4 linked regions of the Saccharomyces cerevisiae S288C genome follow. The gene in region 4 interacts genetically with the main gene of each other region. Each region holds a gene or a part of one and is shown on either strand. Other genes may lie near its edges. The genes, in order: ERV41, KIP3, SPO1 and SPO73.

Region 1 (7,770 bases), on a different chromosome or scaffold from region 4:
ACAAATTGCAACATCGTCAAATACAAAGAATTGTTTCGTTACCAAAGGCAGATGATATCCATCACTTATTGGTTTTGGCAATTGAACCTCCTTTACGTCAAGGACAGACCACCTACCCCTTTCTTGTCTTACAATTTCAGAAAGATGAGGAAACAGAAGTGCAATTGAATCTAGAAGATGAAGATTATGAGGAAAATTATAAGGATAAATTGAAAAAACAATATGATGCTAAAACTCATATAGTTTTAAGTCATGTATTAAAAGGTCTGACTGACCGTAGAGTCATTGTTCCTGGAGAATATAAATCCAAATATGATCAGTGTGCAGTTTCATGTTCTTTCAAAGCAAACGAAGGTTATTTGTATCCATTAGATAACGCTTTCTTCTTTTTAACTAAGCCAACTTTGTACATACCATTCAGTGATGTTAGCATGGTAAACATTTCAAGAGCAGGACAAACTTCTACGTCATCGAGGACGTTTGATTTGGAAGTGGTACTGCGTTCAAATAGAGGTTCTACCACTTTTGCCAACATCAGTAAGGAAGAGCAGCAATTATTGGAACAATTCCTAAAGTCTAAAAACCTAAGGGTGAAGAATGAAGATAGAGAGGTACAAGAAAGGTTACAAACCGCTTTAGGTTCAGACAGTGACGAAGAGGATATTAATATGGGTTCCGCTGGTGAAGATGATGAATCAGTAGATGAGGATTTTCAGGTCAGCTCTGATAATGACGCAGACGAAGTTGCAGAAGAGTTTGATTCAGATGCGGCTTTAAGTGATGCTGAGGGGGGTAGCGACGAAGAAAGGCCTTCGAAGAAGCCTAAGGTAGAATAGTAATAATTTTAGACTGTATAAGTTAAATTTATTGATATTGTGTAAAAACTAACTAATATATTTTGCCAATTGATATTATCATGACATGGTGAGTGTAAGACACCACCTCTTAATTACTGGTGTTATTCTATACATTTATTTGAAATTGGTTTTGTTTTGCAAAATATTTATGTTTTGTTAATCTCCTCTACCCTTTCAATGCTTGAAAAATACTTTCAACTTTTCGATTGGGTGATGAAAAAAAGACAAATAGTGTAAAGGGTTCAAAAATAAATAACAAGCAAGAGAAAGGGACTTTGCTTTTCTCATTTAGTCACCAGTAAGTTATGTCATGGTGTAGAATAACGAATTACAGAAAACTAATATAACTGATGAAAGACCAGGGAGTAAAATGGCTTTGACTCAGTTTGAAAATGATTTGGAAATATTAAGAGATATGTACCCAGAACTGGAAATGAAATCGGTAAAAGTAGAGGAGGAAGGTGAATTCCCTCAAAGAATTAACGGAAAGTTACTGTTCAAGATATCACTATTGGCCGATGTAAATATTGAGTTCGGCGAGCAACATATGTTACTTTCAAACTTATCTAATGAATGCGTGGAGTTCACCATATATAGCTGTCATTATCCGGACATTCGACGGTGTGTTGTTATGGATATCAAATCCTTATGGATATCAACAGATGAAAAGAAGATGTTAATTGACAAAGCGCTGAGACTCGTTGAAGAAACTGTAGATATGAGTATTGAGTTCGCGGATTCGTTTACCTCCATCCTTATCCTCATCTTTGGGTTTCTTATAGATGATACAGCTATATTACTATTCCCTAATGGAATAAGAAAGTGCCTGACACAGGATCAGTATGACTTGTTTAAGCAGATAAGTGAGGAAGCCACCCTCCAAAAAGTGAGCAGATCTAACTACCATTGTTGTATTTGTATGGAAATGGAAAAGGGTGTTAGAATGATCAAATTGCCATGTGAAAATGCGAATGTAGAACACTATCTTTGCAGAGGATGCGCCAAATCTTATTTCACTGCAATGATTCAGGAAAACCGAATATCCAGTGTAAGATGTCCACAATGCGAATACAAAGAATTAAAACTAGAAGATTTCAAGAGCTATAAAAAAATGCTGAAGGCATTGTTTACACCTTTGATTCCAGTGTCCTTCTTAAAAGAGGTTATCGATACAGAGCTATGTGAAAGATACGAAAAAATGTTCTACAACCAGGCGGCTACAAGACTCTCAAAATATTGTCCGTATGCTTGTGTGACTTGTCGAAGATGTGATAGTTGGTGCACAAAAGAAGACCTCGATGATGCGATGATTCAGTGTCAAAAATGTCATTTTGTATTTTGCTTTGACTGCTTGCATGCCTGGCATGGTTACAACAATAAATGTGGCAAGAAAGTTTCGTTATCGACCGATATTATTGAGGAATATCTAGATGATACCGTTACTTCATATGAGAGAAAGCGGAAACTGGAGGCAAAATATGGGAGAAGAGTATTAGAACTTGAAGTCAATGATTACCTTGCTGAAAAAATGTTAGATTTAGCGATTAAAAAAGAGGGTTCGAATTTGCAGCGATGTCCAAAGTGTAAGGTAGTTGTAGAAAGAAGTGAAGGTTGCAATAAAATGAAATGCGAAGTATGCGGGACGCTGTTCTGTTTTATATGCGGAGTATTACTTTATCCTGAGGACCCTTATGAACATTTTAGAGAAGCATATTCAGGCTGTTATGGACGATTGTTTGAAGGTATGCCTGGCACAGAAACTTGAGTGCGATCGCTCTGCCTTCAGTCTCACACTTTTTCTTATAATCTATTGTCATGAAATTTATACAGATGAAAATGAAACGTTATCTTGGGTATACTGCATTCTCTTTTCTTTTACATATCTACCTATCTAAAATACCCTTAGTTTTATCATCTGGCTGATAACGCAAGGACCACTTAGGTCCCATGATGGTGATAAGAGCCATATCCAGTAGTGTGAAAATCCACGAAGCACAGTAGACCAAAAATGAGCAGATTGCCACTAATCTGACCAAAAACTGTATAAAGCTTAAACGAACATCAGAAACTACTATGGATAATGGTTCGAAATTGTATTTGAAGAAGATGCCCGGCATTTTATCACCTTTAGCAGCGACATCTTTGTACAAATAGCGGTAATCGTTAACAGAATATTGATTAGTATCCACTTCTGCCCCCAATTTCTTGAAAAGAGTGGGCACAACAGATGTGTAATAGACGTAAGTAGTTAAAGGTTCATCCTGATTAAACTGTGCAGTGTTATCCAATGGGTTATCAATATATGGATAGAAATCACCAAAAGAGAACTCATTAATAACATGATTAAATTTTAATTCTTCCAGTGGTGCTTTGCGTGAAGCCACGTAACCTAAACTCTTCGCTGTAATCTGCAATTCGCCACTAACTCTATTTACCGGAATGGACCCAAATACATGGCACCCATTGAATTCCGGAAGATGTGCCTTGTTAGGATCACTTTCATCAAAAAATGACCTAGTATCTAGTTTTTCTCTAAATTCTGCTGGGATAGCTTCCCCTAAGATTTCATCCAATTCCGGCGTAATAATTTCATTGATATCATTGACTTTTGTGTCATAAGGAATAAAGAATGGCATCTCTTCCAATTGCAATTCCTCTAATACAAGTTTCCGATCCATTGTTTGGTCTCTGACGTTGATTTGCAACCAATCACATTTCGTGTTGACGTATATATCCATATTAATTTGAACGGTATCTCTAACTTGACTGTCCACTACGTACTGCTGGTCAATATAACCACCGAAGTATTCACCAAACTCGGTCCATGCTATAAACAACAGAAACAGATATGTCAACAAAGATGTTAAGCCACCCTTGGTGGATTTCTTCTTGTACTGTTCTTCAGTTTTTGCTGTAAAGTTAAATTTCCATTGTTAGTGAAAAAGCAAAAGCAAAAATAAAATATGCTGAAGCGGGCTACTTCAGAAAAATCCATATAACATACGAAACGCATCAAATGTCTTCAATCCTGCCATTATATACTCCTGAAGTCTCTGCCTGTACGTTACAGCAAAAGCATTTTGGAGGAACGCTTTTCTCAGTAAGAATAGAACATTGATAATATCTTTTCAAAGCCTTGACCGAGCGGGAAAAAAGGACGTTATGCAAAAATACTTAATATACTGAAAGGCTGTGTATATGTTTACATATTTACTGTCATTTGAAAAAAAAGTTCTGTGGTGAATTACTTCTCCATCAAGTCTGGAGAAGGGGAGTTAGATGTGTCTTCTGTATACTTATCAGACTTTTTGGGCTTAGCTTTGTAATGATTTGCTGCAAGAAATGCGAGTACCAATAGGACCCACTGGATGGCATACCTGGCGAGCCCCATAATGAACCCACTTCCCACGTTTACTTTTAACAGTTCCCAGCCTGTAGTGTGTACAGCAGCGTTGTCAGATCCTACGTCTGTTACCTCTTCAGGTTCTAATGTTTTCAGTGCAATCAAATATACGATGTTACATAATATTGTCAATGTAGCAATAACAACTAATATTGAACTTGATGACTTCAAAAGCATAGGAAATAAGCGGTGTCGTTTCCCAACACTAAGTGCTCCCCCAAAGGCTGACACTACGCAGATACTGAGGAATCCGACTATTATTTCCAACACTGCAAAGTAAAAAACCATGCCGTTGAACATCATCAGTATAAATGCCAGGTTGACGCCTTTCAGATAGTTTTTTGTTGGTGACACGCCTTTTACATTTGGATCAGGACTGCCAATCAAAGCCTTTGATAGGGCATTTCCTGTGTGCTTGTCGTGTTTCAAAAAATCACGAATAGATGTCAATGCCAAACGGTAGGTCAATACGAGAGAGTCTCCGAATTTTTTGGTTTCATTCGATCGTGTAGTGGAAATGTTACCTAATTGAATCCCGACGTCTCTGACAAGTACTTCAAGTACGTCCATGCCATAATTCTCATTAGAGGTACAATAAACTTTGCTTTTATTACTCCGTTTACAAAATCCAAAATAATTGAGCTCAAAAACCTTATCAGGCTGAAATGTGTCCACCAAATTTTCATCCTCATACACACTTGGATCAGTGAATTCATTCGACCAACCCATGTCAATTGTCAGGTACGAAATCAATCGCAGAAATTCTCTTACACTTGCAATAAACTCATTTGCAGTACTGGATCCTCCAATCACAGTTATAGTAAACTGTGGAGCGCATAACCTAAGTCCCTTAGAGTTCGTACATGTTGTGGCTGGCAGGTAGAGGACAAATTGTGATAAACTTAAAATCAATAGAACACCCCACACAATCAGACGTTTAGGGAATAACATGCTCGCCCTTTTATATTATGACAGAAAGAATATATATATTCATATATAACATGCTTCTATTTATTAGTTTTATCTTTTAATTGATGGATGTGTCCATAGAATTTAAGTAAGTGCATGGTATGGAGTGTATAATGGTTTATAATTTCCCCTAAGATGACACAAAAAAATGTTCTCCCAAAAATTTACCAAGAAAAAAAATTAAGAATACTACACAATTGATGCTTGGGTTATTTTAAATATCCGGTACATTCTATTACAAATATGTTTGTACAATGTAAGCCCCTTCATAATGGTCAGTATTAAGATAAGGACTGCTATGGGGCATTTTTTGTCTTACTGGGTATCACAGGATAATAACTTGGCGCCAAATTAGAAAAGATATAAACCTCAAATATTTGAAATTCTTTGGTGACCTGTCTCATCGTTATATCAACAAATATTGCACCAACGAACACCACTACATATGTAACTACTCTCTTCCTCGACTTATTTTTTATTAACGTTGACACGGCCAGATCGAAAATCATAGAAAAACAACAACATTGAGAAGAGATGAAGTTGCGCAAAGGGAAAGAAAACTGCATAGGCGGCAAATTCAGCCTAAAAGTTTCCAGAAGCAGGAACTCATTCCCTATTGATTAATACTCATTACAAAAACCACAATAGAGTAGATAAGATGGCAAAAACGTTGAAGGATTTACAGGGTTGGGAGATAATAACAACTGATGAGCAGGGAAATATAATCGATGGAGGTCAGAAGAGATTACGCCGAAGAGGTGCAAAAACTGAACATTACTTAAAGAGAAGTTCTGATGGAATTAAACTAGGTCGTGGTGATAGTGTAGTCATGCACAACGAAGCCGCTGGGACTTACTCCGTTTATATGATCCAGGAGTTGAGACTTAATACATTAAATAATGTTGTCGAACTCTGGGCTCTCACCTATTTACGATGGTTTGAAGTCAATCCTTTAGCTCATTATAGGCAGTTTAATCCTGACGCTAACATTTTGAATCGTCCTTTAAATTATTACAATAAACTGTTTTCTGAAACTGCAAATAAAAATGAACTGTATCTCACTGCAGAATTAGCCGAATTGCAGCTATTTAACTTTATCAGGGTTGCCAACGTAATGGATGGAAGCAAATGGGAAGTATTGAAAGGAAATGTCGATCCAGAAAGAGACTTTACAGTTCGTTATATTTGTGAGCCGACTGGGGAGAAATTTGTGGACATTAATATTGAGGATGTCAAAGCTTACATAAAGAAAGTGGAGCCAAGGGAAGCCCAGGAATATTTGAAAGATTTAACACTTCCATCAAAGAAGAAAGAGATCAAAAGAGGTCCTCAAAAGAAAGATAAGGCTACTCAAACGGCACAAATTTCAGACGCAGAAACAAGAGCTACAGATATAACGGATAATGAGGACGGTAATGAAGATGAATCATCTGATTATGAAAGTCCGTCAGATATCGACGTTAGCGAGGATATGGACAGCGGTGAAATATCCGCAGATGAGCTTGAGGAAGAAGAAGACGAAGAAGAAGACGAAGACGAAGAAGAGAAAGAAGCTAGGCATACAAATTCACCAAGGAAAAGAGGCCGTAAGATAAAACTAGGTAAAGATGATATTGACGCTTCTGTACAACCTCCCCCCAAAAAAAGAGGTCGTAAACCTAAAGATCCTAGTAAACCGCGTCAGATGCTATTGATATCTTCATGCCGTGCAAATAATACTCCTGTGATTAGGAAATTTACAAAAAAGAATGTTGCTAGGGCGAAAAAGAAATATACCCCGTTTTCGAAAAGATTTAAATCTATAGCTGCAATACCAGATTTAACTTCATTACCTGAATTTTACGGAAATTCTTCGGAATTGATGGCATCAAGGTTTGAAAACAAATTAAAAACAACCCAAAAGCATCAGATTGTAGAAACAATTTTTTCTAAAGTCAAAAAACAGTTGAACTCTTCGTATGTCAAAGAAGAAATATTGAAGTCTGCAAATTTCCAAGATTATTTACCGGCTAGGGAGAATGAATTCGCCTCAATTTATTTAAGTGCATATAGTGCCATTGAGTCCGACTCCGCTACTACTATATACGTGGCTGGTACGCCTGGTGTAGGGAAAACTTTAACCGTAAGGGAAGTCGTAAAGGAACTACTATCGTCTTCTGCACAACGAGAAATACCAGACTTTCTTTATGTGGAAATAAATGGATTGAAAATGGTAAAACCCACAGACTGTTACGAAACTTTATGGAACAAAGTGTCAGGAGAAAGGTTAACATGGGCAGCTTCAATGGAGTCACTAGAGTTTTACTTTAAAAGAGTTCCAAAAAATAAGAAGAAAACCATTGTAGTCTTGTTGGACGAACTCGATGCCATGGTAACGAAATCTCAAGATATTATGTACAATTTTTTCAATTGGACTACTTACGAAAATGCCAAACTTATTGTCATTGCAGTAGCCAATACAATGGACTTACCAGAACGTCAGCTAGGCAATAAGATTACTTCAAGAATTGGGTTTACCAGAATTATGTTCACTGGGTATAC
Region 2 (6,494 bases), on a different chromosome or scaffold from region 4:
ATTGTTCTTCAAGCTCGGGTATCGGTGTTTGGACCGGTGTGGACGTAACTGTTTCAATAGCAGTACTATCATCAACAGCCTGTTCTCCTTGTGATTGTAGGTTCGATGGTGTGCGGGTCTTTTTGCATTTGATCTTTCTTCTCCTTGGTTTGGCATTGTCGTCGTTGCTGTTACTCCTATCGAAAAGTCGAGACTGAATCTTGGTTATCGTAGCCAAATCGTACTGGCTGGAATCTAACACTGTTTTAGGTAATAGATTGTGGGAACAGTAGAATGGCTTTACCAATTGTTTTGATGATACGGTTGATGACTTTGGTTGTGGAAATGATTGCGAAGAGTAGTAATTGTTTAAAGAGGGCATCCTTGATATAAATCTGTACAAGTTTTGTCTTTCCAAGCAACCAGGTATAGCGGAAAGAGAATTCATCACAGTGGAATGTAGTGACAGTGTTGACCTCGACGACACAATGCTTGAAAGACGTAGCATGTTTATTGGAGAAAGCTCTTGAAAATCTGATCCGTCCAAGATTACATTCCTAGACATTGTAGTTTGTTGATGATGATGCTCTCTTTTACCAGGGATGGTACTGGTGCTCTCGCCGCGATTGGTGAACCAGTTCTGTGACGTGTTGAAGATCAAAGAAGGAAGAACATCCTTGAACACTACATGCATGGACTCTTTTAGCCTTCTCTCAATGGTGCTTTGGAGAATTTTTACAGAACAATCAAACTTAAAATCCAAATCAACGTCATTAAAGGATATCCCAATTCCAGGGTTCTTTACAAAAATATTCGTGATGGCTTCTAGCTCGATGGAACTGAACGTCATAGTTATAGGAATTGTGAACGATCCATTATTGATGAGCTGGGGCATGGTAAAGCTGGGTGTATCCTGTTCGTTAATCAATAAAAGATTCGACTCTATGACTGTCTGTATCCGCAACATAGCATCCTTACATGAAATCTTGCAAATCCCCTTGGCCAGAGACTTGGGCTGCGTGATAATGTCTAGGTCCAGAATTTCTAGCTGTGGTATTGTAGGAAAATCCACCTTCTGTACCTTAATTCCGCTTTTCAAGATATCTAATTTCTTTTTAGACGGTGAGTTCAAAGCCGTAGATAACTTTTCCCGTATTCGTTCATTGAAAGAGTTATCACCAAACACAGCTTCGTTGAATCTAAATGACATGACGATGCTGAAGTTTCTTGCAGTTGTGTTTTTTTTGTTATAATTGTTACTGTTTCTATGTTTTACGAATCTTCCATGACTCTTCTAATTGGTCTCTTTTTACTACAAGGCTTCATGGCCCTTTTTCAAACCTAATTTATAAGTTCTTTGCCCTATGCTTAAAACAGTTTAGCCCTATTTAATATAGTACAAAAAAGGAAAAACCTAATTGAAAAAAGCTATTCACCCTAGGTCATTACTACTTTTTCCCTTAGCTAGCCGTGTTTTTAGTTTTTGTTTTGTTTATTTTACCTGTATTATGCCTTGTTTGATGACTTTAGTATGGGTTTGGTTTGTCTTATCCTTGGATACAAAAGGACCAGATACATTCACGTCTGGTCGGTAGAACATCGGTATCCAGTATAGTGTTCAGCTGTTCCTATAGAGACAAAATTTATAATCTGCGTGTAACAAATATCTGCAGGTTAAAAAAGTCCAGATCAGTGTTTCGAAGCTGTTGATTTTTCTTTTTTTTTTTTTATATTAAAATTTTCATATTCCCTGATTGCATCGTTTATCTGATTATCATTTCATTGCATTCTTTAACTACTTGAGTTTTCTTTCCAGCTGTATACTATTGACACTAACATGAACGTGCCTGAAACAAGACAATCCTCCATAGTCGTAGCTATAAGAGTAAGGCCCTTTACGTCAATGGAAAAAACAAGATTGGTCAATGAAGCTAGTGGTGCAGAAGCTAACTTTCCCGGTTTGGGGGATTCGTCGTTAATATTACCCATGAGTAATAACTCCGACTCCGATATAGACATAGACGCTGAAGAAGGTTCTACGCGGAGCAAAAGAAATAGCTTGCTGAGGAGAAAAGTAATTAGACCGGAGGGTATACGTAAAATTGTGGATTGTGTGGATGATAGAATGCTCATATTCGACCCAGCTGATAGAAACCCATTGAACAAAGTGAGTGATCAGGTCCTGAACTCGATGCGTGCAAGGGCCACTAAGGCCACTGCGTCCTCTATCAATAACAGCAATGCTACGAACAAATTTTCTTCGCAACGTCGAAGGCACGGTGGCGAAATCAAGTTTGTATTTGATAAATTGTTTGATGAAACCTCTTCCCAAGCCCGTGTATACAAAGAGACCACCAGCCCGCTCCTAGATTCTGTTTTAGATGGATTCAACAGTACCGTATTTGCTTACGGTGCTACTGGTTGTGGCAAGACATATACTGTGAGTGGCACACCTTCACAGCCGGGGATCATATTTCTAGCCATGGAGGAACTATTCAATAAAATTACAGACCTGAAGGACGAAAAAGACTTCGAGATTTCACTGTCTTACTTGGAAATATACAATGAAAGAATCAGAGACCTTTTGAAACCAGAGACACCATCTAAAAGATTGGTCATTAGAGAAGATACGCAGAACCACATCAAAGTGGCGAATTTGTCGTATCACCACCCAAATACGGTAGAAGATGTGATGGACTTAGTTGTCCAGGGAAACATAAACAGGACTACGTCACCGACGGAAGCAAACGAAGTATCTTCACGATCTCATGCAGTGCTGCAAATACACATCATGCAGACAAATAAGCTTGTAGACTTGACCTCGCAACATACATTTGCTACACTTTCAATAATCGATCTAGCTGGGAGCGAAAGAGCCGCCGCAACAAGAAACCGTGGTATAAGATTACACGAAGGTGCGAATATAAATAGATCCCTACTAGCACTGGGCAATTGCATTAACGCGTTGTGCTTGAATGATGGCAGCAGAAGCTGTCATATTCCATACAGGGATTCCAAGTTAACTAGGCTGTTGAAATTTTCACTGGGTGGCAATTGCAAAACAGTCATGATTGTTTGCATATCGCCCAGCAGTTCACATTATGATGAGACATTGAATACTTTGAAATATGCAAATCGTGCTAAAGAAATAAAGACCAAAATAATCAGAAATCAGCAGTCTTTGAGTAGACACGTTGGATCTTATTTGAAAATGATTACGGAACAAAAGCGACAAATCGAAGAGTTACGCGAACGTGAAGAGAAGATGATTTCTTTGAAGCTAACGAAATACAAACTAAACAAAGAAAAGATCCAGTTAGCCATTAACGAGTGCGTCAATCGTGTTCAGCAAACGTATGCAGGAGTGGAAACGTATCAAGTAGCCAAGACCTTGAAATCATTAATACTTTGTAAAAGGCGGTTTTTGCAAATGGTCAAGCTAGAAGTGGATAATTTGATACTATTATTTGAACGGGAGGAAAGTACAGCCGCCGAGATGCAGCCGGTGATTAGTAATTGCCGAATGATCAGTGGTCAGCTTTATAACAAAATACACGAGTTAGAAATGAAATTTGATGAAACCGACACTCTGAGTTCCGTCATTCATCAGGTACATTCCATTGACTTGAACAAGTTAAGAGAGATGGAGGACTGGGATGAAACTTACGACCTGGTGTACTTGGAGTCGTGTTTAAATCAAATATCAGAATTACAAAGAAACGAAATCTTGGTTAATTCCTCCATAATGACAGAAAAATTAATGTCAGATCCGGGTTTGAACTCCCGATTTAAATTTCTATCAAAGTGGCTGATGAATAGGACACCTAACATTGAATCCATAATTCAAGACCTGGTTCATATCGACGAGGAGTTTGAATCTTTTGCCAGAACTTTTATCGCCAATCCCGATAGCAATTTTACAAACACAAATATAAATATAATAAACACGACGGCAGCTGACTTGGCTGTTCCCGCTGAGACCCTACAACGGCAAAATTTTTCCCAAAAAAAAGTAAAGTGGACGAGTCCCGACCTTAGTCCCAGCCCTATGATTGAACCACAACCGGAGCTAGAACCAGAACTACACCAAGATCAAGACGCCATTGCAAGTGAAGTGGACGTAAGTATGCAAGATACCACATTCAATGAGCAGGGGCCCTCGACCCCCTCCGCTCCGACTACAGCGGTTCCAAGAAGGAAGATGCGCTCCTCCCTTCTTACTCATCAAAGTCTACTGGCCACTGCCAGGAAATAACATACATATCCTACGTAAACTATCGAATATAACTTCTTTCCGCCAGCATTAAACGCATTTATGTTGATTAATTCCGGGTTACGGGAAAAATTTTTCTTTAATTTCTTTTTTTTGAATTTATTTGGCACGAGAAAAGGTTCAAAGTGAATAATTGCTTTTAGTCATTAGACACATTACCTACTTTCTAAGAGATTCTAAAAGAAACTAAGCACCACAAATCATTGATCTTTTAAGAAAAACGCACAAGGATCATATACTAGATTCTCGTTCTCGTTTTTTCTTCCTTTTTTTTTTCTCTAAAGCCTTTTACTGGGTTAATTTCCTTTATTGACCCAAATTAAAAGAAAACGTTTCTCAGGAGACTCTTTTAAGCAAAATTTAGCAAATTTGTGTTTGCTGTTGTTTTTACAGAGACTGCATTACTTGAAGGTTTGCCTTTAAGTCTTCGAGTCGTTTTTTTTTATTAACTTTAATCCTTTTTCTGTGTGTTTGTGTATATTCAGTGGGGTTATTTTACAGTATTCGAAGAGACTTCGTTTCACACATTTAAACCAGCTTTATTAGCGTTTAGCTTATACACTACAAGGAATTTTTTTTTTCTTTAACATTATTAAGACAGTTATTGAGTTAATTCGTCTTCAGCCCCCCTCCCCCCAACAAACCCCCCTTCATATAGAAATGGCTAATACTTTCAAGTATTATCCTGAAACGATGGGTAATTCTAGTGGTTATCCAATTAGTTTGCCTTTTCCGAAAGGTTCGGCTACTTCTGCTGTTAATGTTGCTAGGCAACTGCCTAAATATTTAGGTCATGTTCCCTCGCAATCAGTTCATACTCAGTTGCCATCCATGGCTTCTTTAGGTTACTTCAATCAGCCAAGTTCTACTTACTATGCTCCTCCTGCACCACTTCAACAGCACCAGCAACCACCTATCCTTCCCCCTCCGGGCCTAATGTACACTAGTAACAATAACAGCAACGTTATTCCTCCTCCTGTTCAAATGATTCGGGATGGACAACAACAACCACAACAATCTAACCAAGTAAATGGGGGCGTCAGTGAGAACTTGGACTACGATATTTCTATAATGTCAAAATTTATCATGGAAAATGCCTTTGTTGCCTTCAACGCGAACTATAGTACTGATGACCAGACCACTGATCTTTTTTTCAAGGGCATATCTTCTGTGTTGAATGCCACGAGATTGCCTTCAGCTACTATTTTTTTGGCTATAGATTATCTTTTCAAGTATATCAATAAATTATCTAATGGGATACATTCAATTGGTGGCAATTCGATCAATATCATTTATCAAAATACTATGATTGCGTTCATATTAGCAAACAAGTTCAACGATGACAAAACTTTCACCAATAACTCATGGTCACAGGCAACAGGAATACTGATAAATGTTATCAATGATTTCGAGAGACAATGGTTGAGAATATTTAACTGGGAATTGTATGATAGTGCTTTTCTTTATTTTGAGTTCGTCAAGAATTTTGAGATTTTCAAGCAAAATCAACTCAAACCTGCTGTAGCGGTTCCTACGTTATTATCTCCAATTGTCAACGTTGGTGATACGAGAAACGTAAATTTCAACTTGAAGCCTACTTCCACAAACAACCTATTATCTCCAGTTTCCAATTATGAAACCCCCATGCTGATGCCGCATAACATGTTTTCATCACCATCTTATCAGAGTAACTCAAGGTCTGAATTTTCTAGTATGAATGGTTATTATAACTATTACAACTATAATCAGCCAAGATTGAATTACTATCAACAATTCCCCAATATATATTCTTCACCAATTTCGGAAACTCAGTTTGATTACGACTTCTACAATTTCAGTAGTCAACAACAACAGCAACAACAAAAACAACACTCACTTTTACCTGCCGCTCCACAATTACCTCCCCCTCACGTCCATAATCAGTCTTACGGTCATCATCTTGGCTGGAAGTCAATGGATGACACAATAAATCATTCAAGATTTGAGCGAAACTACTTTCCGTATTCGGCAGTGTATTAGTGAAAACTTTTTTTTCCTTATTTTTTCTTTGATCCCATCGAATTACTTTCTCTTTTGCCCAGGATCATCTTTCTAATCTATCATTTTATTATTTTCTCTCATGAGAAAACAGAATTTCGAAACAGATATAATAAAAAAATTGAAAAATTTGAAAAAAAAAAATCTAGAAACATATTTTCCTAAAATGAAAATCGGAAGCTAACAAAATTTTTGAAAAACGAAA
Region 3 (8,662 bases), on a different chromosome or scaffold from region 4:
AGGTAGATTCAAATTTCTTTTTATAAGCATCGATACTTCTGGATTTGTCATGTCCGAAGGGACTTTCATCCTTATAGATGATTTTCCATTGATCATGTGCATCGATTTCCACTTCATTGGAAACAATGTCAATTTTGTGAATAGACTCTTGTCCAACTAATCTGGTCAATAAAACCTTGATAATTGGTTTCATTCCGCTGGAAACAACGATGACAGGGACATCATTTTCTTGAGCCCATTCGAATGTATCCTTGAAACCAGGATCCAATCGAATTTTCTTTTCTAAGATCTTGATACACTCAGGGAAAGGGGTGTGGATGGATTCCAGCATTTCCATGAAACCTTGCCTAAAAGACTTAGTATCATCTAACACGCCTTCGAAGACCTTTAATCTTTTTTCCTTACCGAAACCTAAAGTATCGGTCAGATAATCGTTAGAATCTTCCAAAGTAACGGTACCGTCGAAATCGGTAAAAATAACAGCTTTGACCATTTCCCTTGTATATATATAAATGCTATGTCACTCCAGCTTATGTTATGTGAGCAAGTTTCAAGAATGTGTGCGTTCTGTTGAGATAAACAATAGAGGACACTGTATTTTTTTAATTTAAGATGATGAAAAATTATGCGATAATTTTCGAAAATTTCGCTCATTTTAGAAAAAGAGATTTGAACAGGGTACCATAGTAGAACGATAAAAGAATATGTCGTACAATGTGTTGGGTTGTTGATATCCAATAAAGAGTTTTTTTCAGCGTGTAATGCTTAGATATTATGTGGAAAGTTACTACTGTTGTATTAACCTGTTTCGTATTTCCTAAAGAACGCTAATGTGTGATGTTTGGGTTTATTTCTTAAGCTATTTAGGCGGACTATGAAAGAGAGGAAACGGAATCTTTTGTTCCCTCGAGGTAATAAGGGGACAAAATAGCAGAGTGTGGTGAGATAGTTTACTAGATGAACGTCGTTGTGTGCTCCGGTGGGACTGCCACAAATTCATTGACTCCTTGCTTTTCTAATATTTCTATCTTAAAAGGACATGAGCTGACGTATATATTGCCAATATCAGATAATGGCGGGTCCACAAGTGAAATTCTACGAATAGTTGGTGGCCCAGCAATTGGTGATATCAGATCTAGAATAGTGAGACTACTTCAAGATGAACAGCTTGTCGAGTTGTTTGGCCATAGGCTACCTAATGATAAGTTATTAGCTAAGAAAGAATGGAATGAAATAGTGGAAGGTTCGCATCCCATATGGAAAAATATTTCGATAGAAGTTAAGGAAATGTGTCGTTCTTTTATTATCCATATGCAAGCAGAACTCTTGAAAAAAATCAAACACTCGAATCCATTTCAGTTTGAGAGTGCATCCATTGGAAATTTTTTCTTAACTGGTGCTAGATTGTTTTTAGGTTCTCTAGACGCATCTATTGAACTAATGATGAGGATAGGAAGGTGCAGTCCTCTAGTTCATGTTATTCCATGTATAAATACCAATCACACACATCATATCTCGGCTTTGTTGACGAATGGTGAGATGATAACTGGCCAATCACAAATATCGCATCCCTCGAAATCTGTTCCTAAAGATAATAGCATAGCACATTCAGCTAAATTTATTCATTTACTTGGCTCTTATGACGACCATTTGAAAATTCTCCTCGACGATGAGGAAGAAGAAGCGGAAGAGGAGTATGCCAATCCTATCTATATTCTTCCAGAACTGAAAAACTCCCAGTTGCATTTTGACAAGCTTGATGAATCACAGAATCTACCTGCTCCGGTACATAGGATATTGTATATAAACCCATATGGCGAAGAGATAAAACCAATGGGAAATCCAAGAGCTATTTCCAAGGTGAAAAAAGCTGACATGGTCGTTTATTCTATCGGTTCTTTAATGACAAGTTTACTCCCAATCCTTATTCTTGGTAATCTTGCTGAAGTAATTTTGGAATCTAATAATACGAAAAAAGTTTTGCTCATAAATAATAAATATGATAGAGAGGTTTTTGGTTTAGACGGTTTACACTACGTTCAAATGATCATAGATTCTATGAGTAGGGCAATAGCAGGCTATAGGCAATCTAAGGGTGTCCATTCAGAGAATGATGACTTTGAATGGCAAGATTTTATTACTGATATTGTTTACCTAAAAAATGGTGAAATTGAAATTGATGAAACGATATTCGAGAAGCATAGTATTAGATGCCACCAGATCGCGTCTTCGGATAAGATGGAAAGTGAAGAACTTGAAAAGGTTCTGAATCAAATTGGCCTTAAAAACTGATGCAACTATGTCGCTCATTAACGGTTATTATAGTGAAGACTACATAATAAAGACATAGATAATAAAAAAGAATCGCGTTTGAACCATGTTTTATTTAACCATATGGCATAGAAGAAAAGTAAAAAAGGTGAACAAAAACTCATTAAATTTCACAGAAAAAGTCTACTCTCTTATGAGTAACAGTAGTCTTTAAAGCATTGTAAGCAAAATGGCGAAAATTTCTTTTTTCTTGGGAGCCTGTCCATTGTTCTTTTGGTTAATATACAGCCTAAGCAATTTTTATAATAAAGGTCATAATCATTGCTAAACACTCCCCTTCCAGTGGGTAACATACTGCTAACTTCAGACTGATTGTAAGTTATTTTGAATGTCGACGTATTAGATGCGTTTCCATGATTCGCATTGGCATGATAAATTATAATTGGCAAAAATGAATCATGTCCAGTTCTTTTGGTAGCATTGCATCCTATAACAATGGGGTGAGTGAATGTTTTTACATTGTTCGGAAATTGGTAATGAACGTTCTCTTCATCTAATTTTTCGAATATCCTTTTTAACTTGGAGCCGTTTGGATAGTTGTCAATATCCGAACTAGAATCCAGAACAAAAATTACATCTAGTTCCCTTTCAGGAATCACCAATGTTCTGAGTGGAATATTCTCGCCGTCTTCTCCGCCGTCTACAAGGTATAAATGATTTTTGTTAGTTAGGACATTGTCTTTTTCAGGATAAAGATAAAAGGGATTGGGTTGATATACGGCATAGTCTGTCTCTAATCTCGAGGAGTCTTTCGAAATACTAAATATTTCCTCTTTACCTAGGCCAAAAATTCCCATAACCATATTCAAAGCTTTCATTGCTTCTCTGGAGGACTGAGAAGCCAAATTCCAGATGAAGATGAGCACATTGTTGAATATTGAAGAAGACGTCGCAGTAATAAAACCTAGATCATCAAAGTTATTAATACACTTCTCGGCCTTTCCAGAAACAATTTTTGAGCCCAAATAGGGCAACTTGACGAAAAGTCTGAGGATATTTTCCCAAGATCCAAATTCAAAGGGCGTAAATTCAAATATAACGTTTGAAAGAAGTCCATTTTTGCAATTTGCAACGAATATTGGGATCGGCACACTGCATTCCTTAAATTTTTTAGACGAGTTTACAAGCTTCGAAAACGAAAAGGAATGGTTGGGATCGTCATCGAAATTTTTTTTTAGTCTTTGAACGATTGCTTTACCCCAATAATCGGTGAACGATATTTGGAAACCCTCCATTTTTTTAGGCTTAATTTTCAAATGCAAACTTTTGTAAAAGTCTAGCACTTTTTTAAAGGTTTCAATCTTCGCATCAGTTCCAGTGAAAGTGTTGTTAGGAAAGAATATTTTTTTTAGTCTTGCTAATGGATTCAAGTTTCTCTTCGTTATCATATAGTCTTCTGGGATTTCTTCTATGGAATTCATGATCTCCTCTATTTGTTCATAAAAATTTGAAGAGCTTGTAATCAGAGAACCCCCCTGACGCTTCTTCATCTTCAAATCATTATCATTATACTCCTTTTTTGCATTGGTAACAATTTCTTCTTCGGAAATATCGAATTCCGGTATGCCTAATAAAAGATCCTCTTCAAGGTCCCACTCTTGTAGCAGGGATTTTACTTCAAAATTTTGAACTACCAAATCCATCAAGATCCAACTTCCGCCTGATAATCCAGCAATATAATCCGAATATTCAAAAAGGCCATAATCGTTCATTTGGGAAATAAATCCGGTACCTACTAACATGGATCTGTACCCGCCGCCAGATATAGCAATCCCAATTTTTGGAGGATCTTTCAACACGCGTTTATAAAACTTCGAACTAAACTTTGCCTCTGTCAAGGATTTTAAAAACTGAATCAGTTTATTCTTCGTTTTAATTTTTTTTTTCTTCAGATACAAGGTTTCTTCTGGACAGAGTTCATGCTAATAAACAAAGGAATACGAAGTTTTGGTATATTCGGTTAGTTTTGGCCCATATTTGTTAAAGTGGCAAAGAGTTTAACTTACTTTGGCCTCCCTAATAAGTGGAGAGCTAGGACATTGTACCTGAAATGGTGCTGTTGCTAGTACTACTGTCAATAACACAGAAAAGACAAAGAGGAGTTTTTGCATTATTTTGGGATATTTATGTCTTTACTTAGGTTTTTTACTTGTATACTTTCTCTGAGTGCATTTACTTAAATATGGTTGTATAGCCGCTGAAGTATGTTTTTTTTTACCTTTCTTTGTGAAAATCAGTAATAGAAAATAAACATAAAAAAAATAAAAATATAAAAAAAGAATAAGGATGTTAACTTCAAAAATATATAAGTTACTCACTGAAAGAGATGTACTCGACTTCAAATTAAAAATCTTCATCAGAAGAAACGTATTCATCACCCATCTCTTTTTTCTTCTTCATTCTCTCCTTCTTTTTCTTTCTCAATTCTGCAGAAGAGAGTTTGCTTTTTTTCTTCCCACTATTAATCTTGTTACCCATAGCATCAAATTTATCACCCTCTTCTTCTTTTTTCTCAATTCTTGGGCCAGCACCTTGTCCTGCAACCCAATTATGGCCAGAGGGTGTCATTTTCCCATCCTTAACCGCCCAAACTTCGTCAGTCAGATTCTTAGTAAATTCTGCCGAATGCGTAATAATAATGACACCACCTTCAAAAGCTTTTAATGCTTTTGAAAGAGCACCCAATGAATCTCTGTCCAAGTAATTCGTAGGTTCATCTAAAACAATCAAATGGGGTCTTTGCCACGTGCAGGCAGCGAGTACCAATTTAACCTTTTGCCCACCCGATAAACCTCTAATTCTTGAATGTGAGACTAATTCTGAATCCAACCCCAACATGGCGCAATGTAATTCAATCTCTTTTCTTGTTAAAGCCCTGAATTGACCAGAAGCCAAAGCTTCCTTCATATCAATTTCAGCAACCATTTTAGAATGGGATTCAATCAATTCGCCCCTTGGTAGCCAAGCATTGTCGACAGACATCATTGGAACCCATCTTTCAGATTTCATACCAATGTTCTCACCTAACAAAAACGAACATTCGTACTCATACGTGTTTTTAAATTTCCTTCTTGAATGGATTCCTGCAACCCTTCTTGGGGTCCCTTCAATTTTAAATATTTTATTCATGGCCTCTGCGTCATTTTCATTTATTTGCCTATTTGCTCTATCCATTGTTTCCCTATCCTCACCAGTTTGGAACCTCCATTGAATGTATTCGGATGGAGTTTTGTCTAAGTGCGATTCAATGTGTGCAAAAGCGTGCTGCTTAATATACGCTATACGACAATTCTCGTGTGTATATACTTCACCGCTGGTTGGTAACAGTTCACCAGTAAGAACATTAATTAAAGTGGACTTACCAGCCCCATTAGGTCCGATAACTGCAATCCTTGAGGATAGAGAACACTGGAAAGTAACATCTGAGACTTGTGGTTTAGTTGTCCCTGGATATTGAAAAGTCATATTACTTACTTTAACAATTGCCTTTTGCTTCGTTTTGACACCTTCTAGATAACCAGGAGTTGGGAATTGAAATTCAAGGTCAGAGGCACCTAATTCATAGTATGATTGTGCCGTAGGACATTTTTGAACAAATTCTGATAAATTACCCTTGTACTTTCTTAATTTAAGACCCTCATAATGTATGATGTATTGACAAACCTTATCCAGAAAACCAGAATCATGAGAGACAATCACCGATGTAATTCCGCAAGTATTCAAATAATTTACCAGCCACTCCACATTAACAGTGTCTAGATGATTTGTTGGTTCATCCAATAGTAGAATGTCAGCGTCCTTCAGAACAGCCCTCGCCAAAGCTAATTTCATTTTCCAACCTCCAGATAGGGATGCAATTGGCATTTCTATCATTTCATCGCTGAACCCAAACTCCTTTAATTTCGAGGTAATAACATCCTTAGTTCCTACATTGCCGGAATATACAAAATCTAAAACGGACATGTCCGAATGTGTATTATCGATATCGTGTTCCACATAAACAGTGCGACATTCATCCTGAGTGGGGAACCCGTCAACTTGGCCATTAGCAATGGATCGCATTAGAGTGGATTTTCCGGCACCATTAGGACCACATAGACCATATCTCCTACCTCGCTTCAACCTCAATTGAGTCTTGTTTAGTAATATTTTGGCACCATATGCCAAGGAAAATTCACAATTACACAAATCTTCACCCTCATCCTCTTCGTCTTGGAAATTCGGTCCAACTGGAATATTATCTACTGCCCTTTTCCTGAAATCGTCTAGTATTTCCTTTGCAGTTTTCTCATGTAAAAATATAGTCATATAAGGTGTAACATGTGTAAACCACGTTTGCTGATCAATGATCCTTTCATCAATTAGATTTGCGGCAATCGCGGCTATGTACTCAACCACAATGGTGAACCTTGGGGCCACTTTTTCAGGTTCCAGTAATTCCTTGATGACGCCCAGTGTTGTGGAAACATCACCAGCATGCGATATTTCTGGTAACACATCATCTTCCCCGACATTACCCACACGTCTCAGGGTTTTTAAAGCTTTTAATGTAACTTCACGCGCTTCAGGATCAGCAATAGTAGCAAAATTGTTCTTTAGCCCTGGTAGTAGTTTACCTAAGAATGGAGCAACAACTTGCGGGTCTTCAACCAATTTACACATATTATCGATAATAACCGCAGCTTTACGTTTTATAGAGGTTTCTCTCTCGGCTAAACCTCTGCTCAATAAAGGAACCATAATAGACAAAGTCGCTGGAGTTACTTCGGCTACAAAAGTAGTTGCACCCAAGAGATGAACGGTTTCAGGCACCTCATTTGGATTTGCAATACATTCGATTAATTTTGGAATAAATCTCTCAATATCCTTATTATCAACAGTTTCAGTTGCCTTTGTGATGGTTGTCGTTGCCGCCTCCTTAACTCCTTTCTTAGTGTCCCACATGGATTCCGAAAGAACGGGAATTAGTTCCGGCATTCTTAAGGCAATCTGTTCTTTAGCGGCATCTACCAATACAGAGATTACTTCGAGAACAGCAACCTTCTCTTTCCACTTGTTGCTAGTTTCCAGCGAATGAATCAAATGAGGTAAGAGTGCTTTAACGGCAACCGGGTTAACAGCACTAGCGATGGCTTTGAGGGCCTTTGTTGCCGCAAGTTGAACATCATTATCTTTACTACCAGCTTTACTGCATACAGAAGGGACCGTCGCAACTATGTACGGTTCAACAGAAGGTGATAGATTAGTTTCATTTGCTATGTAAGCCACCGCACCCAGCGTGTTGAGCGCCTTTTGTTTACTCTGGATAGCTTTTTGAAATTCATCAAAAAAAACTTCGGGAACGTCATGCTCGATGATGTTCCCGTTTAAAAATGAGGAAAGCTCCGAAGAAATACCCTCTCTTGTTTCTGAAGTAGCAGTTTCCAACTTTCGGAAAAGCTCTTCTAGAACGGTGATTGATTGTTGTGAATCTGACATTTTGTGATTCCTTTTTTTTATTTATTTTTGGTTTAAAAGGCTCTTTTTTTGCACCACACTATCTACCCTTCTCTATTAGATTGAAAAGAAGAAGGAATTTCTGGCGCAAAAGTAACTGGAGAGGAGGACAAAAGATATATATATATATATATTTAAATGGATATATATATATGCACATATATATTATCCAGAAAAGTAAAGCAAAATGTGAATGGAAAAGAGAAAGAAGAAAGAAACAAGTGGAGAAAAAACTCAAATTGTTAGAAGAATATACCCATTAATAGCGGAAATCAAGGCTATTCTTTTGTGCAAGCGCATCGCTCCCCTAAAAGACATCCAGCCGCGCAATGCACGGGCCGCGACCTTGAAAATTTAAAAGACCACTTCCTCAACACAGTTTAGCTCTGTTAATGACAAGGCAAGGAAAGCAAGATGACCAGAAAAAGAAAGTCCCGAGACACATCTTAGATGCCAAAGAAATGGCGCCACAGCAGTTATAAAAGAGCGTTAAAATTGAACAGGAGCAACGATTTAGACTGTCATAAATATATTCGTATATATATATGTATATATATATATATATATATATATATATATAGGACGTGCTCTGCTGTTTTTTGGTGAATTATTATAGTAGACGAGAAATAAATTTACAATCGGGGAGAGAAAATTTCCGAGTAAAAAAGTGTTTGCGTTTATCTCAGGAATCAATTTGTATGAACTTCTTTGTCTTCTTCGACGTTCTCGATGACATCATTGTGCTTTTCCTTCAACTTGTTCAAGTGGAGAACATCTGGTACCTTGATGGTGTACCCTTTAATGATGTCGAATTCGTGTACAATAGAGCCACCTG
Region 4 (7,237 bases):
TGATAGATTTGACTAATGACGAGGATGATCACGATGTCGGCATTTTAAAAGGACACAACGTTTTTGATGAAGAAGAAAGTGATGGTTTCGAGTTTGATGTGTCCGATTACTATGATAATTTCTCCGAAGTCGACGTAGAAGAAGAAGAAGAAGAAAAAGAGGAAAGACGACGTATAAAAACGTTAGAAGCAATTCAACAGCAAATGTCTGACTTGTCTGTTACTTCTTCTACGTCCAGTAATAAGAGTGTAAGTTCTTCAGAAAATGTTCCCGGATCATGCATACAGTCCCTGCCGACTACCGCCCCTGCTCTTCCTTCATTACCTCCACCTCCTTTATTAAATGTCGATAGAGCGTCCAGCACTGGCGCTCTAAAGCCACATAGTTTAGAAACTTCTACTACTATGGATTCATCAAAGATTAGGAATCCTCAAATATCAAAATTAATGAAGAATAATCACGTACCATACTTAAAGGGTACCAAATCAACGCCCACTCTTATCACTAAATCAACGCCAACATTTATTACAAGATCAAAAAGTAATACAAAACCAATCATCAAATCCAATGCATCGTCTCCGACCTCTTCTCTGACTGTTCCAAATTCAGTAATTCAAAAACCCAAAACGGCTGCAATGGCTGCTAAGAGAGTTCTGAACAGCAAAAAGGTTGCGAGTAACCCCGCATTAAACACTACGAAGAAGAGTCACCCCATTTTGAAATCCAAAACGGCGAAAGTCCCAAATTCCAGTTCGAAGAAAACGAGTAGCCATCCTTCCAGACCTGTAAGTAACTCAAAACCATACTCGCATGGTGCATCCCAGAATAAGAAGCCATCGAAAAATCAAACCACGTCTATGAGTAAAACGAATCGAAAAATACCAGCACAAAAAAAAATCGGTTCTCCAAAAATAGAAGATGTTGGAACAGAAGATGCCACTGAACATGCCACTTCCCTAAATGAGCAAAGAGAAGAGCCTGAAATAGACAAGAAAGTCCTGAGGGAGATTTTAGAAGATGAAATTATTGATAGTTTACAAGGTGTAGATAGGCAAGCTGCAAAGCAAATTTTTGCCGAAATCGTAGTGCACGGAGATGAAGTTCATTGGGATGATATTGCTGGTTTAGAAAGTGCAAAATATTCTTTGAAGGAAGCAGTTGTCTATCCGTTTTTGAGACCAGACTTATTCAGGGGGTTACGTGAACCAGTCAGGGGGATGCTCTTATTTGGACCACCAGGTACAGGTAAAACAATGCTAGCGAGAGCTGTAGCTACAGAGTCGCACTCCACCTTTTTCTCTATTAGTGCTTCCAGTTTGACATCTAAATACTTGGGTGAAAGTGAAAAATTAGTGAGGGCACTATTTGCAATTGCCAAAAAATTGTCACCTTCTATAATATTTGTTGATGAAATTGACTCTATCATGGGTAGTAGGAATAACGAAAATGAAAATGAGTCAAGCCGAAGGATAAAGAATGAATTTCTTGTTCAGTGGTCATCCTTGTCCAGCGCAGCGGCTGGTTCAAACAAAAGTAACACTAACAATTCTGACACCAATGGCGACGAAGATGATACAAGGGTACTGGTACTTGCCGCGACAAACTTACCATGGTCTATTGATGAGGCTGCAAGGAGAAGATTTGTGAGAAGACAATATATCCCATTACCAGAGGACCAGACCAGACACGTTCAATTTAAGAAGCTTCTTTCCCATCAAAAGCACACGTTAACCGAATCAGATTTTGATGAACTGGTAAAGATTACTGAGGGCTATTCAGGAAGTGATATAACGTCTTTAGCGAAGGATGCTGCCATGGGCCCACTACGAGATCTGGGTGATAAGTTATTAGAAACAGAGAGGGAGATGATAAGACCCATAGGCCTTGTGGATTTTAAGAACAGTTTAGTGTATATCAAGCCCTCTGTATCCCAGGACGGATTAGTGAAGTACGAAAAGTGGGCTTCACAATTCGGATCATCAGGTTCATGATGATGATAATAATAATAATAATATAATAATAATGGTAATAATAAATAATATTCTAGCCTAGCTGGACAAACTGTGTGCACATAAGCGGATCGATAAAATATGTTCTGCATAATGTCACCTTTTCTTTTTTTTTTTTTTTTTTTTCTTTTTTTTGACTACTTAGTTTGTTAAACAATTTAATATTAGCGTAAACTATTACTAATCTAATCCATGACTGGTCGTAGGTAGTCTTACCCAGACCCTTCTTCTCACCAAGCCATTTTTCGATTTCCACCTAGAGTTATTGAAATTCCAGCTATAACACCATCCTTGATCGTCAATATCGTACTTTTCCTTGTAATCCATCAGTACGAACCACTTTGTCATCTGTGAACTGCTACTGCCTGCAGTGCGTTCAGTACTCAGATCGATAGGATACAGTTCTATGAAGTTCGATATAGTATTTTTCGACAGGGCAATTAACGAGCCATTTTCAGTGTTTAGTCTTTGAAATTGTGGTGGGTCAACGTGAGGCAGTAAAATCTTGGGAGAAAATAGTGGGTAACCAAGTAAAGTTATGCCTCTCTCGTTTTCTATGAGTACGTCCTCCGGTAAAGCAGAGAAATCCTTCAAGAAATGGTTTTTGCCCATATATCTCTATGTATGATTGTATTTTAACGATGAAAGAAACCTTGTTACGATTGCAAAGTCTTCAATTTCCTGGAAAATAGTAGCCTTTTGGTCCCACGAGCCCAATTACGTAGACAAGATTCAATCGCTTTGTTTAAGCGGAGATAAACTTTCACAAAAAAGATAATGCACACAAGCCAGATTTTCATTAAACACTGTAGAAGGTGAAAATGTCGCGTGACAGTATATGTAAAGGCATATAATAAGGTTTCAAAAGCAGAAAGCGCAAAATATCAAGGTGCAAATTATTGCTTCCTTTGGTTCCATCAGCCTCTTTCTGTACGTAAAAAACAACATTTGCATGTACATGTTTTCTAAGTTAATCTGCGACCCAACCCGAATAGCTCTCTTTTACCCTTATTTTCAACCGTCAGCCCCTCTTATTGGTTGGAACGCCTCAATATCAGAGGTCAAAGTCAAGATATCTTGTTATCATCGGTGTTAGTGCCCAAATTGCCAATTGAACGCCTCTATCAAACTGAGGAACAAACCAGCGCTCGCAAAGGAAAACGCGTTTTCTTTTGGCTGCTTTTCTTTCGAAGTGCAGGAACGAGCAGTATTTGGTTGCCATTGTGCGGCACACCCAAGCACACAACGATGCGCTAGGCCAATTGATTCATTACCGTTGGTGTTTCAGGTATTCGTGCTCATCAACGTGACTATTCAGCAACTGAATTAAACTGCTCTTAATAACTTATGTGCACCGTAAGCCAGTCAGTGCTAATGAAGGAATCAATCAGGAGTCGTACAGTGCGTAGGCACACTTTTTTTCCGCAGCTGTTTACTAAGGGTTGTGTAACGTCTGGGTGTGGAGGGGCAATTACCGTAAAGATGCTCTCGAAATTACAATACTACGGTACTTTTCCCCACGGAAAGTTGTATCTCGGAGTTAAAAAGGGAGTGGCACGAGATTCATACAATGGCGTGCAGGCAAAATGATTACTACCGAAATCGAAGCAAGATGATGTTCAACCTTAGGACATCGAAGCTGTACCTCTGCATGAAGTAAGCAGAACAAGGCAAAGTTTAGTTTTTCAATGCTCGCTTCTGCTGGCACTGTTAGTTTGCAGCACATGAGTAGCAGTGGCGCGATTATATCCCCGTTGGGCCATCAAAGCGCAGCTTTTTGTGGTATCAGATAAAATAGTGGTACGCTAAGGCTCTGCGTGAGGAGTTAAGCAATATGCCAAGTATTACTTTGTAGACTTAATTTTAAAATGCTCTTAATTTTAATTTCTATTTTTCTATTTTCTATTTTCTATTTTCTATTTTACTTTTTTTCTTTTTCTGGCTTTTTTTAGTAGTGATATATAATTAGTTTTTCATCTGAAAGATATTTAGGGCACCATTTTCTTTTGTTCTTAGATGCAGATATTCTTTGGCGATTTACCCTGGTGGTACAGAAGATTATGTTACATAATTCATCAATTTTTTTTATGTTAGTTCATCTTCAAAATCTGCTTTAACTGGTTATTATTAAAATATAGTAAATCTAGATCTCTCAATCTGAGTGCTTACCGACTAAAAGCGCAGAAACTGTATTCTTATTATTTTTTTTTTTTCACGGCAGCTAATTGTACTGAGTTATATTAATAGTACTGGAATAACACCAGGTAACGACTAAGGAACCAAATAAAGTATGGACTATAAGCATAATTTTGCTACAAGTCCAGATTCTTTCCTAGATGGAAGGCAGAACCCACTCTTATATACAGATTTTCTATCTTCAAACAAGGAGCTTATATACAAACAACCATCGGGTCCTGGTCTTGTGGATTCTGCCTACAATTTTCATCACCAAAACAGTTTGCATGACCGTAGCGTGCAAGAAAACCTGGGTCCAATGTTTCAACCCTTTGGCGTCGACATCAGCCATCTTCCCATTACCAACCCTCCCATTTTTCAAAGTTCTTTACCAGCGTTTGATCAGCCCGTGTACAAAAGACGCATATCTATCTCCAATGGTCAGATTAGTCAATTAGGCGAAGACTTAGAAACGGTTGAAAATCTTTACAACTGTCAGCCTCCGATCCTATCGTCTAAGGCGCAACAGAATCCCAATCCTCAACAGGTGGCAAATCCAAGCGCAGCCATATACCCAAGCTTTAGCTCGAACGAATTGCAAAACGTGCCACAACCACACGAACAAGCTACAGTCATACCCGAAGCTGCACCTCAAACAGGTAGCAAGAATATCTACGCTGCAATGACCCCGTATGATAGCAATATAAAGCTTAACATACCCGCAGTAGCAGCCACTTGTGACATTCCTTCTGCCACGCCTTCTATCCCATCTGGCGATTCCACAATGAATCAGGCTTACATCAACATGCAACTCCGATTACAAGCTCAAATGCAAACTAAGGCATGGAAAAACGCTCAATTGAATGTGCATCCATGTACTCCAGCCTCTAATTCTTCCGTTTCCTCTTCTTCTTCCTGCCAAAACATTAATGATCATAATATCGAAAATCAATCCGTCCATTCTTCAATTTCCCATGGCGTTAATCACCACACTGTTAATAATTCCTGCCAAAATGCCGAGTTGAATATTTCAAGCAGCCTTCCATACGAATCGAAATGCCCTGATGTCAATTTAACACATGCCAACTCAAAACCACAATACAAGGATGCCACTTCTGCACTGAAAAACAATATTAATAGTGAGAAAGACGTACATACCGCGCCCTTCTCCTCTATGCACACTACAGCAACCTTCCAAATAAAGCAGGAAGCTAGACCCCAAAAAATAGAGAACAATACTGCAGGCTTGAAAGACGGTGCTAAAGCTTGGAAGCGTGCAAGGCTACTAGAACGAAACAGAATTGCCGCTTCCAAGTGTCGACAGAGAAAGAAAATGTCACAATTACAACTTCAAAGGGAATTTGACCAAATAAGCAAAGAAAACACAATGATGAAGAAAAAAATTGAAAATTACGAAAAATTGGTTCAAAAAATGAAGAAAATTTCGAGGTTGCACATGCAAGAATGCACAATTAATGGTGGTAATAATAGTTATCAAAGCCTTCAAAACAAGGATAGTGATGTTAACGGGTTTCTGAAAATGATTGAAGAAATGATACGCAGCTCCAGTCTATATGATGAATAAAAGTATTGCGCATACTTCTTATGGGAGATCCAAATTCCCAGTACATTAGTTTGACTCTCCTTCCTTAATGTTTTCCTCTGTACGATTATTTATGTTTAAACGATTTATTTTACTATGTATGTATTTCCTTTCATTTTCTTTCGGAGTCATATATATTGCTGGGCGGCTAAATGTTTCCGACTTGTAAAAGAAAACATAACAAACATCTTGTAGTTGTGAAACAGTTTCATTAAATAATCTTTTAGAAGAGTAAGGACATGAGTAGAGGCAAACTGGAAGATATGGAACAAAAGGAAACATCGGAAGTTGACTGGATAATCGTACGTGAAATTGTCACATCCTTAACCTATTTTCTCTTTACTAACTTTTAGTAAGAGGTGTAATCTCCTCGAATATTATCTATGACAGTGTTTTGCTTTAATTCAATCCAGGAATCCTACGTTGTGGAAGAGGGCACTTTCAAGAAAGAAAGGAGATGTCGAAGATGTAGGTGCTCTCAAGAGTGAAAAAAATTTAAAAATAAATCCTCGGGAAAACTCAAAACATATATACAAATGGGTTGCGCCTTTCGAAAATGGATTTTTGAATAATAAATCACTGTTTGCTCATCTGGAACCTATATACAATTTCCTTTGCCAGAATAAGTACAAAAGCTTCGAAGATGCAGTTGGTTTAAAGGAGCTGCAATCATTTAGCAAAGATGTATCAACTGCTGATATAAACAACTGGTTTTTACCGAGATATAAAATTCTGCTAAAAATCCTGAGCTTAAAAACAAAAGAAATTGACTTTAGAGGGTTATCGCAAGTGTTTCAAACACTCCAAATCTTGTTAGTTTCTCATTATTCGCATCGCATAGATTCTGATTCTTCTTTTAAGAGGACACTGATAGACGTTCATGTTTTCAATTTCATCGCCAAGTTTCTGTTTAATAGAATTTTATTGAAGAAGAACCAAAACGATCCAAAATGGCTTCAAAACTTTTACGACCAGGGAGATGGCAAACATTTATGTGATAAAGTTGACTACAAGCGCTTGTGTTCGTTGCATTTTACCCTTATTTACTCTATTATTAACATTCAACTCATCAAAATCAAGACAAACCAAACATTTGAACCGCAGATATTAAAATACGTATCTGTTCTGAAATTAATTGAACACATACTTATCATCATCGAAAGTCTGATACATGTACTTATTAGATTTGTATCGAAGCATAAACTAATATGCATCAACCGGAAAAAGGCGTACTGTCGAGTATACCTCGAAAGAGAATTGAGTTTGAAGAAAACCTACTTAAAGAACTTTTACAGTGTAATAAGCGGTGTCCCAGAAAAAGAGTTAGGGGGTCTATTGAAAATACTCAAGATAGTTATTCTATCATTGCTCGAGACATTTGAAAGCATTGAATGGCAGCACTTAAAACCTTTCCTGGAAAAATTTCCGGCTCATGAAATATCGCTTCAGA

What was found.
Region 1: mutations in SPO73 (region 4) and ERV41 together harm fitness more than expected from each alone (negative genetic interaction), as found in Saccharomyces cerevisiae (2 studies listed by BioGRID).
Region 2: mutations in SPO73 (region 4) and KIP3 together harm fitness more than expected from each alone (negative genetic interaction), as found in Saccharomyces cerevisiae (2 studies listed by BioGRID).
Region 3: of SPO73 (region 4) and SPO1, changing one suppresses a phenotype caused by changing the other (phenotypic suppression), as found in Saccharomyces cerevisiae (2 studies listed by BioGRID).

The regions. Positions count from the first base shown.
Region 1 is NC_001145.3:136,323-144,092, forward strand, and holds ERV41 (Erv41p), read right to left. Parts: upstream 3,893-7,770; coding exon 3,862-3,892; intron 3,769-3,861; coding exon 2,741-3,768; downstream 1-2,740. Other genes in the region: FACT complex subunit POB3, read left to right, coding at 1-836; ITT1 (RBR-type E3 ubiquitin transferase), read left to right, coding at 1,228-2,622; SMA2 (Sma2p), read right to left, coding at 4,102-5,211; ORC1 (origin recognition complex subunit 1), read left to right, coding at 5,888-7,770. UniProt on the Saccharomyces cerevisiae protein: Constituent of COPII-coated endoplasmic reticulum-derived transport vesicles. Required for efficient transport of a subset of secretory proteins to the Golgi. The C-terminal Ile-Leu motif is required for exit from the endoplasmic reticulum.
Region 2 is NC_001139.9:83,069-89,562, forward strand, and holds KIP3 (tubulin-dependent ATPase KIP3), read left to right. Parts: upstream 1-1,816; coding exon 1,817-4,234; downstream 4,235-6,494. Other genes in the region: ERMES complex subunit MDM34, read right to left, coding at 1-1,189; CLG1 (Clg1p), read left to right, coding at 4,913-6,271.
Region 3 is NC_001146.8:605,466-614,127, reverse strand, and holds SPO1 (putative carboxylic ester hydrolase), read right to left. Parts: upstream 4,443-8,662; coding exon 4,338-4,442; intron 4,254-4,337; coding exon 2,463-4,253; downstream 1-2,462. Other genes in the region: PYP1 (putative phosphoric monoester hydrolase), read right to left, coding at 1-493; YNL011C (uncharacterized protein), read left to right, coding at 958-2,292; HEF3 (translation elongation factor EF-3), read right to left, coding at 4,675-7,809; PBI2 (Pbi2p), read right to left, coding at 8,517-8,662. UniProt on the Saccharomyces cerevisiae protein: Regulates spindle pole duplication in meiosis I, but not in mitosis. Required for meiosis I, meiosis II chromosome segregation and spore formation. Binds phosphatidylinositol (4)P mono- and polyphosphates.
Region 4 is NC_001137.3:238,564-245,800, reverse strand, and holds SPO73 (Spo73p), read right to left. Parts: upstream 2,622-7,237; coding exon 2,190-2,621; downstream 1-2,189. Other genes in the region: putative AAA family ATPase SAP1, read left to right, coding at 1-1,991; ACA1 (Aca1p), read left to right, coding at 4,300-5,769; MEI4 (Mei4p), read left to right, coding at 6,027-6,089, 6,178-7,237. UniProt on the Saccharomyces cerevisiae protein: Required for spore wall assembly and ascus formation. Involved in the formation and elongation of prospore membranes.